Linked DNA regions of Lonchura striata. The protein of the gene in region 2 binds, or shares a complex with, the protein of the main gene of each other region. Links are inferred from orthologs where the notes say so. Each region holds a gene or a part of one and is shown on either strand. Other genes may lie near its edges. The genes, in order: MLXIPL and YWHAB.

The links.
Region 1: the proteins of YWHAB (region 2) and MLXIPL are in contact, whole or in part, in a crystal structure (PDB 6YGJ), measured with the Homo sapiens proteins. The link is inferred for Lonchura striata from reciprocal best matches to the Homo sapiens genes YWHAB and MLXIPL. Residues at the interface, in NP_003395.1 of Homo sapiens: Gly55, Arg58, Ser59, Trp61, Arg62, Ser65, Ser66, Gln69, Lys70, Arg129, Val178, Tyr181, Glu182, Asn185, Leu218, Gln221, Leu222, Asp225, Asn226, Leu229, Trp230; in NP_116569.1 of Homo sapiens: Asp118, Ile120, Arg121, Asn124, Ala125, Trp127, Arg128, Ala129, Trp130, Tyr131, Ile132, Tyr134.

What each region holds. Positions count from the first base shown.
Region 1 is NC_134622.1:811,518-819,130, forward strand, and holds the start of MLXIPL (carbohydrate-responsive element-binding protein), read right to left. Parts: upstream 3,013-7,613; 5' UTR 2,683-3,012; coding exon 2,381-2,682; intron 1-2,380. UniProt on the Homo sapiens protein: Binds DNA as a heterodimer with MLX/TCFL4 and activates transcription. Binds to the canonical E box sequence 5'-CACGTG-3'. Plays a role in transcriptional activation of glycolytic target genes. Involved in glucose-responsive gene regulation.
Region 2 is NC_134619.1:9,246,121-9,253,454, reverse strand, and holds the start of YWHAB (14-3-3 protein beta/alpha), read right to left. Parts: upstream 3,176-7,334; 5' UTR 3,061-3,175; intron 1-3,060. UniProt on the Homo sapiens protein: Adapter protein implicated in the regulation of a large spectrum of both general and specialized signaling pathways. Binds to a large number of partners, usually by recognition of a phosphoserine or phosphothreonine motif.

The DNA.
Region 1 (7,613 bases), on a different chromosome or scaffold from region 2:
CTGCAGAAGGTGAAGAGAGAATTACTGCCATCAGCTGCCCTAAGGAGGAGATGGAGCCAGACAGTTCTCAATCATACACTGAGAAAGGCCAAGGGGAAACAGACCTAAGAATTGGAACAGGGAAACTCCAAACTACAGCCACAGACAGCAATTCCCTAGGGGAGAGGAGCAGCCCTGAGCAGGCTGGACAGATGGTGAGGTCACATCCTAGGGCTCCATCTGTCAAAGTAATGGCTCTGAGCAACCTGACTTGGCTTTGGATCTAGCCCTGCCCTGCATGAGAGTTGCATGATGAAATCCACAGGTGCCTCCCAGGTGACAGCTTACAGTGGTTTCTCCTTGGTTAGGAATTTAGTCTGAGCTTAACTGTGGGTGCTCTCCTGAGGGCTGGAGGATACTGGGCTGGTGACCCCAACTGAGGCTGTTCTGCCTCTGGGAACCTGGATGGGAGGGGAAGTGTGAAATGACAGGTGATGCAGACCAGTATCAAATCAGACAACACTAAATGTAGAAATGCACCAAGAACACTTAACTCCATTATTCCACCCTGATACCTTTCTCTAGCTGCTGCCTACAAGAGTGTAAAAAAATTATTAGCAAAAGAAAAGCTAAGAGAGCTGGGGTTGTCCAGCCTGGACAACCTTAGAGACCTTAGAACCCCTCCCAGTGCTTAAAGAGGATCCAAGAGAGCTGGAGAGGGATTTTGGTCAAGGGCCTGGAGTGACAGGAAAAGGGGGGATGATTTCACAATGTCAGAGGACAGGACTAGATGGGATATTGGGAAGAAATTCTTCCCTATGAGGGTGGTGAGATCCCAGCACAGGCTGCCCCATCCCTGGAATTGTCCAAGGCCAGGCTGGACAAGGCTTGGGTGAGCATCCCATTACATAGGAGCCAGTATCTGCACTGCCATGCTCAGTGCAGGAAGGAAATGAGCCACTGAGATTCCAGGTAGTGGGGAAAACTGGAGCAATAGAACCCTGACTGCAGTGGAATGGCCAGCCCCCAGTTACACACAGTACTCCAGTTGTCAAAGCCCTTGTACCCTGTCTGTTTCCACTCTGCCTGGGAGCTCCTGAGCCCAGGGGCACACTGAAGCTTCCTTGCACCTCATGAGTCTACAGTTTGAGCACCCTGGTGTGACAGTGTCTGTTTCTCCAGCCTCAAATCTGCAGGGCTCAGTATGGAAAGAATGGGGCTGGGAGAAGAAAAGGCAGCGAGGCCACCAGTGTTTCTATGACCCTTGTTTGTGGCACTCAGGAGTGACCTGCCCAGCCAGGAAGCATGATCCTTACCTGGGTTACCCCATGCTGAGGCTCCCTGTGATCCCAGAGAGCACTGCTATGCTGTGCTGGCTGCTGGCAAACTGGGATGATTCCATCCATCTCTTGGGATATGATCAAGGGTCAGATGTACACAGCCATGCGGGAACTGGTACCCTCTGTGCCAAGGATGCCCTGGCAGTGACCACATTCCCTATTGCATTGAGCACTTGAGGACTCCAAGGCAAACCAGAGAGCTCAGTCACTGGATGAGATCCTGGATGAGGTAATGGGCACCTCTTCAAGGCTGCTTTGCTGAGGTTTTGCTTTCACGTGGTAGAACATCATCATCTAGGTTTTCACATTTGGACATCTTGGGAGAGCTATACAAGTGGTGTGGCACTGACTCCATGCTGATGCCGTGCTGGAGAGAACTCAAAACCTCGGGGCTTGGCAAAGGAGGGGAGCTGCCTCCAAAAATGTGGACTGTGGCCATAAGAGACACACTGCACTCTGTCCTGCTGTCACCAAAGAGCTGCCACTGGGCTTTGGCAATTTGTACAGCAGGGGAACAATGCAGGCACCCATCTGATTTTGCAGGAGAGAAGGAGGAAAGCTTTCAGGAGACCTTGGATAAAAGCCATGCAGCCATCCAGTCCCAAGTGCTACTGCATATCATGGAATAACCTCAGGACATGGGGATAGAGCCAAGGACAGAAGGCAGGACTGCTCTGGGCTGGACTGCCAAACAACTGAGTGTTAGCTGTCCACAGAGTCACTGCTGCTCTACAGAGTGTGCTAGGTCTGGCCATGGAGGAAATACAGCTGGACACAGTGACGCCTGATCTCATGCAAAAATGGAGAAAAGTCAAGATACATGTGGAACAGAGAAGCTTCTCACTTGGCTCTGCAGCCAACAACCCAGCATCAGCTCTCTCTCCCTGAAACTTTCCAGGATGGCAATTTCTGAGCATATGACACATCACAGCCCATGAAAAAGAGGAGGAGGAGGTCAGATGGAAAAAAATTCCTGGCTGGGGAACGGGGGGGCTCAGCTAGCCTCCTGCCTTCAGCCAGCTGGGGGTCTGTAAGACACACACAAGGGCTCTAGGACTCACCTGTACTCCAGGCTCATGCACTCAAAGAGCCGGGTGAGGGTTGGGTCAATACTCCGGGGATCAGCCAGCTCGGGCTCGGCACGGTGGTGCCGCCGCCGGGGTAGCGAGTCGCTGTGCGGGCACGACACCATGAAGTGGCCACTGTGGATGACCTGGGAGTAGTTCTGTGCTGCAGCACTGGGTCCTGTGCCACCCACAGCCGTGTCCTCTGAGTCTGAGTCAGAGTCAGAGTCGGAGACGGGGCAAGGCCCAACCGGAGGCTCCAGGAATGGTCCCGGTAGTCCCACCTGAGTTCCTGCCATTCCTGCTGCCTACTGGGGAACCCTGATGGATCTGACCCGGCACTGTGATCCGTGTCCCCGTTGAGCTGAAGCCCTACAGACACTCCATTGGCATCGAGCACATGCTGAGCTCCCCAGTACAGAACACTGGCACCACGCCTCCTGCTAGGCACCTCCTCCAGCCGGCCCACAGCACCATCTGTTCCTTGCTCCAGGGTTCAGCGGTTGGTTCCCCAGGGCTGATGCACTGCCAGCCCTATTTATGGCGCTGCTGGCTGATCCCGCCCATGGCAGGCCTTCAGCAGGACACATCTGGTGGCCACCAAGCACCAGAGCTTCAGCTCCATGCCACTGTCCTGCTCCAGCAGTGTCCTAACAATCCCAGCTTTTACATCCCCCACACACCTGGGGCGGGGCACTGCAGGTCCCCTGTCCCCCCGTTGCTGTGGCCAAGGGTTGGCTGGCGGTCGGCTCTGTTTACCTGGAGTTAATCACTGATCCTGGGTGCTGGTGGAGTGAGGAGCAGGCGGTATTTACCCAGTGCCTTGCTTTAATGGATCTCCCTGCACTTTCAAGGGAACAAATACAGATTAAGGGACACAAACAGGTAAAATTATAGCAACGGGCACTCTGTTCAGCACAAGGCAAGCCAAGGCACTGAGCCAAGTGCCGAGCTGAGAAACAGCCCCAGGAAAGCCTGCTCCAAGCGGAGATCCAGCAGGAGAGGAGATACAAACAACAAATGTGAGAGAGAACAGATACGAGTTTGGGTATGGTGGGATTTACACATCTTGTTGTCATGTAAAAATCAAAGACTCATCAAATCCTAGAATGATTTGTGTTGGAAGGGACCTTAAAACTCAACTCATTCCACTACCCTTCCACTAGACTAGGGACACCTTCCACAAGAACAAGTTGCTCAAAGACCTGTCAACCTAGCCCAGAGTACTTCCAGGGATGAGGCAGCCACAGCTTTTCTGGGCAACTTGTGCTCAGACTTCACCACCCTCACAGGAAATAATTTTTTCCTAATATCCACTCTAAATCCACCCTGGATTGCCTTCACCTCTGAGGTTTCTAGTTTCTGGCAAATTCTTTCCCAGCCCCACATCCTGGAAGGAGCACACATGCCTGGAAAGCACCCAGGCAGAGATCTTAGGTACCTCCAGTGGAAATACAATATAAATGGGTGGGATAAACTCAGAATAGACAGCTGCAGGCATCCAGTTTGTAGATGGAGCTGAATACTTTCCATACCACCCAGGTAAGTCCAAGAAGGGTCAGCAGCTATCCAGGGTATTTTCCAGAGCTAGAAGAAGAATAAACACAAAAAGCTGGTTTGGACAGCTTCTACACTGGTTGGTGCAACCCTCCCTTTCAGACCATTTCTTCACTTGAGAACCATGTCTTCATTTTCCAGCCAGATTTCTGTGGGTCTGTAGCTTTTTTTCCCCTCTGTGATCCATTACAAACACTTCAGCATGTCCCAAGCTGCCTGTCATGATGTTGAATAGAGAAGTAATTTTAAAAGTACCATCTGTATACATTTTAAAGCAGTAATGGGCATGTGAATGTCCTGGGAAACTAAGAATTAGGCAAGGCACAAAGAAACAAACATGTCAGAGATACAGAGGCTTTCTGGGCACATTCCACTCATGTTGTGCAAAAGGCACTTCCCAGAATTTTGACCAAAAACATTTGCCATCTGTTCACCAGTCCCAGGCAGACTTCAGTCCTCTGGGATAACATCTATTTGAGGGAAACAGAGAAGCACATCAAGTGAGGCCTTTATGAACATCACAAATCCTTCATTGCTGGTCCAGCAGCTCTTGTGCTGCAGAGGAGGGAAATCCCATGAGGTGACAGAACCTTAGTCAACCAGGGAGCAGAGCAGGAGTCTGACACAGGGGCAGGTAGGCTGCAGAGATGAGGAATTTTGTAAAAGGCTGTTTGGATCCTAAAATGTTTGATGCCATTGGAAATGAGAATCAATGTTGATAAGGGTATAGTGAAGCATATCCTTCACTGTACACTGGGGGACTCTAGATTAATGCCAGTCAAGAGCTGAAGGTAACTGCAAGCAGTTCCCTGAAAACATCAGCTGAAAGTTCATGAGTAATTAAAAAGTAAAAAAGGCTCCAGATATTGCAAGGAAAATATTGCTTGCCCCCATATAAAGCAAGCTCACAAGTGTGTGTGGCTTTGGTGCCTGGCTGAGAAAATTTGGAGAAACACCGGAAAAGGTCACAAAGATGAAGAAAATGGGTGGTCAGAAGTGTGAATGGCATCCTTGCAAGAAAAAGGATCAGGACTGTTAGGAAAGATGTGAATCAGGTAAAAGGCACTGACAGTGTAGACATGGGTATAGGAGGAACAGGGAATGATTATAGGTGATTATTCATCACTTTTCAGAGCTGGAGCTTGGAATGGATGATCTCCAGAGGTCCCTTTGAACTCTGACTATTCTGTGATTCTGTGTTTCTGAGGGCACCAGGCAAAGGAAGTGCTGGCATGTTCATCTCAGGATTTTGTGAAACTAAAAGTCCAATCAGACTTAATAAGGAATTGGATAAACTGATGGAGGACTGTAACCATTAAAATTCTTTCTGTGTCCAAAGCAAAGCTGACTGATGGGAACTCAGAGCTTGGAGAAACCTGGTCTAGTGGAAGGTGTCCCTGCCCATGGCAGAGGGATGGAACCAGATGAGCTTTAAGATCCCAAATAATTCTGTAAGTCCATGATTCAATATCTATGCAATGAGGTTCTTGATGCTTTTTTCCTTGGATGGTCTTGCTCACATTCCCTCTGTGAACAGCTGGTGCTGACAGGAGCTTAACACTCCATGCAGTAGCAGGACAGAGTAAGGAACATAGAAAAGAGAACTGCAGCCTTCAGCCTGCAGCTAGACTCCTCATAGAATATTTCTGGGCTCTCCTTGTCTGCCAGACATCCTTCCCACAGGAAGCTGCCTGGCAAAACCTGGGCAAGAGCACCCTCTGGGGACCAGCAGAAATGTAATGGTGATATTGCACTTCTCAAATCCCTTCTTTTCACACTGACATTGCATTTTAAGTGGGTTTCATGATGGTGATGCATGCCAGGTTGTTTGCCCAGAAAGCAGAGTCTGCTGGAGAGGGTGGGCTCATTAGACTTCATCTCTGTTACTGTGGGACAAGCTGAACCTCCCTGGAGAGAGCAAGAGAAGCCTGAGGCCACACAGCAACCTTGGAGCTTCTACGAAAAGTGAGGTATCACTTCAAAAAATCGTGGAATTGTTTGGGTTGCAAGGGATCTTAAACATATTTCATTCCAGCCCTACTGCCATGGCCAGGAAACACCTTCCACTACACCAGGTTGCTCCAAGCCCAGTTCAACCTGGCCTGGAATACTTCCAGGGATGGGGCAGCTTCTCTGGGCACCCTGTGCCAGGGCCTCACTATGCTCACAGGAAAGAACTTCTTCTCAATATCCCATCTAACTCTGCCCTCTGGCAGTGGGAAGCCATTCCCCCTTGTCCTGTTACTCCAGGGGCTTGTTCAAAGTTTCTCTTCATCTCTCCTGGCGACTCTTTTGTTGGAATCTGTGGTATTGATGATTCCAAGATTGTAGAAAGTCTCTGTCAGCCCTGTTGCCAAAGAAGTCATAATTTGTCTGTGCTGGTTTCCAGGTTGTTTATTCTGTTTATCTCTATCATGTTCTGCTGCCCTGCCCAGCTCTGTCCTGCAGGGCAGCATGTGGGGCTCTGCCCTCAGAGGGATGTTACAAACATTAAATACCAGAAACTCCCTGGGCTGGATTTACAATAACGTGCCAATATCTGTCACCTACGTTGGACAGTGTGTCCCCAGCCTGAACCAACAGAAAAATGCCAACACCACAGTGACACATGGAGGGCATGAAGAAGGAGAAAAAGGACAAGACACACCCAATTTCCTCCATCTTGTCCCCTTTGAACCCCTAATCTAGAATCCTAAAATTTTACTTTTGCACCCATGCCACACTTAATTATTACTTATATCAAACACTCAGAGCTGGTAATTCATCCTGTAAGATTGAAAACTCTTTTCCATGGACAGAGATCACAGACAGTGTCTCTGGGGGCTCTGTCCAGGGGGGTTCCTGACCCCTGCCAGGGTCGCAGACCTGCCAGGGCAGCCAGAGGGAAGCTCTGGACTTCCACATCTTTAAGCACTGGAAGAGGATCAAAGGTCTCTTTCCCAGGCTGGACACCCTCAGCTCTCCCAACCTGTCTCCAGAGTAGAGAGGCTCCAGCCCTTGGAGCATCTCAGTGACCACCTCTGGACTTGCTTCAGCAGCTTCATATCTTTCCTGTGCTGGGACCCCAGAGCTGGAGGCAGCTCTGCAGGTGGGTGCCTGCTTTTGAGTCAGGGATGGGATGAAAAGACGCCATGGTGTTCAGAAGGCTTAAAGAAGAATAATCTTTATTAGCAGGAAGTAATGTTCCTTTGATAACCAGGATTGCTAAGGTGAAATATGATTGGTCTCAAAGTGAAAACTTTTCACACCATTGGTGCACTATGAATAGCACACTGTGATAGAACATATCTATAAACAGCATGAACAGAAAGAGAGATAATTGCTTTCATTCCTTCTCATAACTTTCCCAGGCTAGGCCTGGGAGAATTCTCTCTTTTCTCTCTGATTGAACTGAGAACATCTACAGCTGGGGTCTCACAAGGACAGATGGGGACAATCTCCCACCTGACAAATGTCCCACTGGTTAAAGATAATAAGCAGACATGGTGCAAAAGAGATTTTTCTGCATCTTGCTAAAGAGACTCACCATGAGGATGGAATATACAATGGAATTGTCTTTCCTGTCATGGAAGGGAATGTGATGCTCGGAGCCCAACACAGGAGGGTGGTGCTGCCCCTGAGCTGCCTCTCACCCTACCTGGATGCATAGTGGGTGCCCAGCCTGGGGGGAGGC
Region 2 (7,334 bases):
CAAAGCCAAAACTAATCAGAACTAACTGTGCTTAAAAAGTCTGTAAAAATCAAATGAAAACTGACACTGAAAATAATCTGGCTTATATAACATATCGAACTGACAGGACAATTCTAATAAGCTTATGTTGGTCTGAAGTCTGCTGCTCTTGATGACCTGTTCTTCTGATGCTAATTAAGTCATCGATTTTTGTGCACTGTTTTTCTCTCTACAGCAAGCATGAGAATCTATCAGACAAACACTTCCACTTTGTAGAAAAGAACTGGTGAGAAAGCAGTGTAGTTATTGGTTTGACATACTGGTCACTAACATGTTGAGCAGAGCTGCAAGTTAACAGACTTGCATATTTCACTGTGAGACAAGAATACAAAACAAGGTTTGGTGAAATGGGAGGGAATCATACTTCCCAGTCATAAGCTCTCTAAGTCCACTCAAATTCTACCAGAAAAAGCAGCAGACTGGTACAGAATTTGCAGTTCAATATTCCAACAATATGTGAACACACCTTATTTGATTTCTGGACAGGCAATTCATTCTGAAAATAAACATTCACGTGAGGTGAGTGGTACCTCAAATTACAGTTCTGTAACTACAGAGAGTAAGAGCTCTGGGGACATTATTTCTAAAATAAACAGAAAATCATTCTCCACCATTCAGGTACACACATGCTAACACGAGTATCTGCATGATGGGGATGGCATTCCCTGTCAACTGGACAGTGCTTCCAACATTTATTTTTTTACAGGAAACGGAGTGCAGCTCTTTCAGTTGAGTGTAAGGAACCTTCCTTGCTTTCCTGTAGCATTATGCATTTGATTTTATTAGTTGTGTTTCTCTAGATGGTTTCCTCAAAGGCTACCATGGGATGTTTGAAAATGAATAGCTCTGTTAAGATCTGAACAGCAAAATCTTCCCATCAGAAGCTTGGGTATAACAAGTTCAGTAAAATATCCTGCAAACATAATGAAGGAACATGACTTCACAGCTGTGATATTCTTGCTGACCTTGTGCAGCACATAACTTCAGCCTCCTCTGCATCTACTCTGGCCTTCGGCTCAAGTCTCTATGCAAATGCTGAGATAAAATTAACATTCTATAAAGCCATGCCTCACCCTGCTCCGGCCATCTGCTGCCATCATTACTTGTTGCTTCGTAAAATTGAATAAAATGACATTCAATGGCATTCACTCTCCATAGAGTATTACAAAATGCCTATGACCACTACCAACAGCACGTGGGGACACTGATATTGTACAGACATCTTAAATTTAGTGAAAGCAGCCTTGTTCTTCCTAATGCCAGGCTGAAAAGCAGAGCTCTGCTCCTGCCTATGGCCCTTTGCTCAGTACAGCTGCAGGTGGAGACATGCTGGCACTTCCACAGCACAACATCCCCACATGGCAACACCTTTTTGTTCCAACCAGCAGAACTGTTTTTGGCTCAAATCCAGGTGGAAATTGTGACTATACCCAAAAAATCTTCCCCCGGGCATAAAGTTCACGCCAAAATAATGTATTCATATCACAGGTAAATCACTTTTGTTAATAATAAACTGACAGTATTTGTATTACAGGGTGGGGCAAGGAATGTGGCCATATAATAGACACACTACTGTAATGCCTGGTATTAGGATACCACACGGATCAGAGTAGGAGCTTTTACCTCATTAACCAAATAATTATTTAGTGAGCTCCTCCTCATCCGAGTTTATTCACATGCATCACAAAAAGCTGCATACTGGCACAGGCCTGCTCGGGAAAAAATAAAACGACTCAACATCAAAATAGCGGAGATCAGAACATGCGGTACTGACATAATGAGGTTGAGAAAACTGCACCAGGCCCATCTGTGCAAGGAGTCTATCACTTTATTGGTACCAATTTAATAAACAAAATATGATACAAGGGATATTTCTGCAGTCCTTTAATATGAAGGGAGAAAAAGGCACTTGTGTTCTTGTTTTCTTTTCTAGACCAGATTTTATCTCATTATTGCTTTAAAATTAAAATAAGCTCATCTTTTTTCATATTAAAAGTGTTACAATTTCTGACTGAGGTGTCCTGAGTTAGTGAACATGTGAATACACAAATATTCCTACAGCCACTGAAGATACTAAACATTACAAACACCGCCAAAGCCTCTGATGTTCTTCCATGGGAATTTAGCTTTTATGGTGCTGTATGATGTGTCTTTTGTTCTCCTATCAGTGGAAAATGTGTTTTAACTATTAATAAGGAATCTATCTGAAAGCAACCAATTTATATTGTGTTCTTTGCATGAGATGCATTGATGCCAATACAGTGATTGCATGTCACTGTTATTTTAACATCCCAATTAATACCTGGTTATACATACCTCAAACAAAACCCAAACCCGTTAGATCTGGGCTACTGCCCAGCCTTTCTGTACGCTGGGACTGAACCAACCTTCTTTCCCTGTGGAGTCCTCCCTAAACGCATCTCTATTCCCAAATGGACACGAATGATCAAAACTGGAAAATAATAAACGGGTTTTATTCCCTTCTAAAGCGCTCCTACACGGCCACGACCACCTACGCGGGCCGGCTCAGAGCCGCGGGCACGGGCACGGCAGCTGCGCTCTCCGGCTGGGCACGGAGCTGCCGGCGCTGGGCGGCCGGAGGCCGGCCCGGCGGTGCGGGCTGGCCCCGGGCAGCGCCGCTGGCTCGGGCAGCGCCGCTCCCGGCGGGGCTCGCCGCGGGCCCGTCCCGCCGGGCGGGCCCAGGTGAGCGCGGCCGCGCCCCGGGCCGCCAGTGACTCACCGGGGCGGGGCGGCGCGGCCGCCCGGGGAGGGGCGGCGCCGCCCGCCCGCGCCCGCCGGGCGAGGGTCACGCCGTTACCCGGGCCGGGGGACGCAGGAGCGGGGAGGCAGAACCGGGGACCCTCCCGCGGAGACCCCCGCACGGCGCGCCCGCCGCGGCCTGCGGCTGCCCGCGCGGGGCGGAGCGGAGCGGAGCGGAGCGGGGGCAGGCCGGGGCGGGCTGCCCCGGGGTCGCGGTGCCGATCCCCCCACGCCGATGCCCGCCCCGGCCGCGGCCCTCACCTGGCGGCGCGCGCGGATCCCACGGGCGGAGGGAGGCGACGGCAGCGGCGGCCGCTCCACGGACACGCGCACACACCCTGCGGCGCTCGGCCCGCTTCCGCCGCGCGGCACGCCCCTTCCGGCGCCAGGGGGCGCCACCGCCCGCGCGCCGCCCCGGCGGGACGGTCGCCATGGCGACGGGGCCCGGCCCGGCCCGGCCCCGGGGCTGCGCCGGGCTGAGCGGGGCCGAGCGGGGCCCGGCGCTGCCGTGCGAGCGCGCCCCGAGCGGGGAGAGCCCCCGAGACACGGCCCGTGCTGCGCTCACACCCCGCAGCCGCCGCGCTGCGCGCTCTTTGTCTCCGCGGAGCTCCCCGGTGGGGGTCCAGGGGAGGGGTGCTGCGGCCTGCAAGTGCAGCAGCTTCTCCGGCAACAAAAGGAACGGTTTCTGGTTTTCTTGTCGTTTCGCACTGCTGTTCTTTGGCTGGACCTCACAGTAGAAGTGATAGAATCACAGAATTGATTAGGTTGGATAAAGCCGTCTAAAATCACCGATCTATGACTGAACGCTTCCACCCCGCTTAGAGCATGGCGCTGCACCCGGTCTTACACACCACCGGGGACAGTGACTCTGCCGCCTCCCTGAGCAGACCGTTCCGAAGGGATATATATCGGACATCTCGGAAAACAGGCAGTGTGGTTATTCTCTGCACCCTCAGAAATAAAACCTGACAAATGCTTTGAATTGCAAAATCACCTTTAAATGCTGTTTTAGTAGCAGCTCTTCCCTACAACTTCAGTTTTCACTGAAAAATCAAGATCCATACTGGCTAGATAAGATTCATGCAACTTACAAACTGCATTTTTCTAAGGAAATGGCAAAAGAGAACATTTTTGGGGCATGAGGAGAAGTCTAGCTTGGTGTCCAAAAAGGAATCCAAGTAAAAGAGTTCAGTTTTGTAATCCGTATAATCCTTTTGGATAAGAAGTGACAGGACACACAACTCAATTGCACTGCACCCAGATCTCAAATTTATGGCAGCAACACTTGTCAAAGTGTTATTATTTGGACTCGGTTCAATTACAGCATTCTGGAGTCCAATTTTCTCTTCTACTTTCAGATACAGTCCTGGGCCCATCAAAGTCACTGTCAGATTCCTTTTTGGTGATGGAAGGACTTCATTAATTTCCTGCTTAATCTCAGTCCAAAGGTTAATTACTTTGGAAACTCAGAAGGAAAATTACTTGGCACCCACGAGTTATCTTAAGCTGCAAACACTGATTCAGCTCCATTAGTTGCTGTCATCACTCTCTTTTTTCTTTTTGAGGCAAAACTTGTTTTTTACCCCTGATCCTCTCCATAGTCCTTATCTTCTCAGTTTCCATTTGGGCCATTCCCAGTGTTCTTGCTGAGGCCTTGAAGGTGCTGATTCATGGCAGAATTACTTGGTTTTGACATTCCTTGCCTCCATATCTGTGTATCATACTCAGTTTGCAGAGGTGTGCTGTCAACACCTGTTCATTTGGACTTCCACTGTGCCTTCTTCACCCTTCTCCTCTTCCTACCTGTGTTGTCACAGCTCATGCCTCTTCCAGTGAGGTGCACTGAGCTCCTTTCATACAGCTCCTCCAATTTGTCCACACAAAATTCTCATCATCACCGCTGAAATGCAGCACTCAATCCTTCTCAACTGCTATTTTTGGACCATGCAATCTCCACCACACCATCCAGGTAGGGCAATTCTATACTGTGTAGTCAGAGAGGTGAAGCATCACCCTCTGCTGTCACAGAGCTCCTGCAGCTGTGTCCCTGCTGGGCCAGAGGCCACCGAGACAGAAATGTGTTAATGATACAGATATTCCTCCTTGAGCTTTTCCTACCCTGGGGGCTTCCCAGTCCTGTGCCTGGTCTGGTGCTAGAGATAAGCAGGGCACCCTGCAGTTCCTCCAGGGATGGTGAAGGCTGGAACCAACACCAAACCTCAACTCTGGAAAAGCTTGCACCAGCAGCAAGTGGTTCAATGTGTCACCCTTCAGAGGAGGAAGTGCACATTGGCTCAAAGAATCTGAGATACCCAATCTGTGCAAGAACAGCCATTATCTCAGGGACAGGCTGGATCCATGAGGAAACAAGCACAACAGAGAGACCAGCTTGCCTGGCTCTCCAGCAGAAAATGTCCTGTTGTGTGTTTTTCCAAAGAGCCACATTTCAGGTAGGTAAGTGTGAGGTCTAAATGGAATTTGGCTTTAGCTGCTGGTCAGCGTTAACCTGTTACTGCCCTGGGGAGCACAGAGCAGCTGCCCTAAGAGTGCTCACACTGAGCTACAGCCTCACAGACCGTAAATCCAGAAGGGAGGAAATCACAGGATTTGGTGTGAAAGAGGATACAGCTCATGGCTGAGGTGGAGTCCCTTTGCTGAAGGAGTGGTTCTTTACAAGGACTGTGAGACCAAAGCCCTACCCTGGATACACCACAGGCTTCATCCTTCAAAGGAGGCTCTGCAGGGCTGCAAGGACAGTTTGTTCCTGTCTTGTGCAACTGATTCACTATAGAGAGCGAGTTTCCATCTCCAAACCACTTCTCTTGCACTAAGTTAGTACTTAACATCAATAGCAGGTAAAAGAAGTGTAATAAGCTTTTTGACAAAGATGTCAGTTGCCAAACAGGGAGGGCTGGCTCTATTCCTGTGCGAGCAGCAATGTCAGAAGCTGTTCCCAGCAGATGGCACAAGAGCTCGAGCTGCTCCAGTCTCTGTACCTGCCCTCAGGTGTGCGGCTTCTGGTACAGGAAAAACGAACCTGAGATTTGTACTAGAACAAGTGGACAAACCTTTGTTCAGAAATGCCATCCTGACGAGTCGCTCAATTTTTGTGATTTTTTTTTTGTTTGTTTGTTTTTGGTCATTTGTGTTGAAAGTAGTAGGTCTCAGCTGCTGTGGGTACCAGAAGCAAACAGTTGATGGCACTGCATGATCGCTGTCCCTGCAGCTGATGTCTCCCTGCAGCCTGACCGAGTGAAAAACGAGGGTGTTTCATTTCCATGCTGTAGGAAAGACACTCACAAAATGTAATCGCCACCTATTAAGTATATTTTATTTCTTGATTGCTTTGGTACTCATTTTCCCAATCTTCCGCTCTGTGTATGAGAGTGTACAGCCTGGATACTTCAATTGTTCTAGAGCTGGATCTCACAGATCACTAAATAGTGGATTAGGTGATGGATCCTGCATGGAACTGGTGCAGCGGTTTATGGCAGCTGACAGAACTGACCTGCTGGAGCTGACAGCTGGGATGTCCACCAGAAGTCTCATCAGTAAATTAAGAATTTCATCATTTGTCAATGCTGGTTGTGGTGTACTTTGAATTGCACATGATGGTCCTAAGAAGGAGATTTGTAAGGAAGAAACAAGGAACATGAAAGAGCAAAACAGTACTTTTAAATTAGTATTTCTGCAATAGGAAATTTTTAAAAGCTCCAAGGTAAAAACTTCTGCAAAACATCTTGTACTTTCTCTGTGCATAAGCTGCTTGTGACATTATAGACTACTGTGATGAAGTTAAAACTAGAATTAGGTTAGTTAGAACTAAAATTACAACTAAACTGGGCTCAGGCATAAACATCTTGCATAGGATAGAACTATTAATAAGTTTAATTAAAGCAACATTTAAAGCAAAGAGCATCAGGTTTTCCTCATGGTCCCTGCCAACTAAATGCTAGACTAAGTAATACTTTGTTGGGCAACTTTCAGTCCTTCCTTCTGTCCAAGGAATGCAAGTAGTTTAGTTCAACTTCTCTATGAAATGCGATTTGGGCAAAAGTCAAATTGGTGTTTTAATTTTAAGGTGTTTAAAGGTCTGAAGGTGACTTTGGAGAACACAGTTAAGAGCATAATTGCAAAGCAACTTATAAGAAGTAACTGTGGGAGCATGAAAATATAAATGACCTAAATAGTATAAAATAGTATGATGGGAAATGTGGTTGGAACAAACGTCTTGGATGGGATAGGAATTCAGCTCCAGGAATGCAATTTTGGCAGTAGTGCCCCAAACAGAGAATGCTATTTCTGGGGAAATGCACTGAACTCTGGGTCATGAATTAAACTCAGGTAATTTATGTTCTGCTCATAAAAAGTGGCAGTGCAAAAAAAACAAGCAGAAATGGAATGGAATATATTGCTGTAAATTTTTGTAGCTGTTGGGACCTGGAGAGTCGTTGTGTACTTCTGGTGCCAGGTAATGCCTAAGAAAAATTCAAGCCAAGGAACACATAGCAAACCCTTCAAAGCTGCCAACTCAG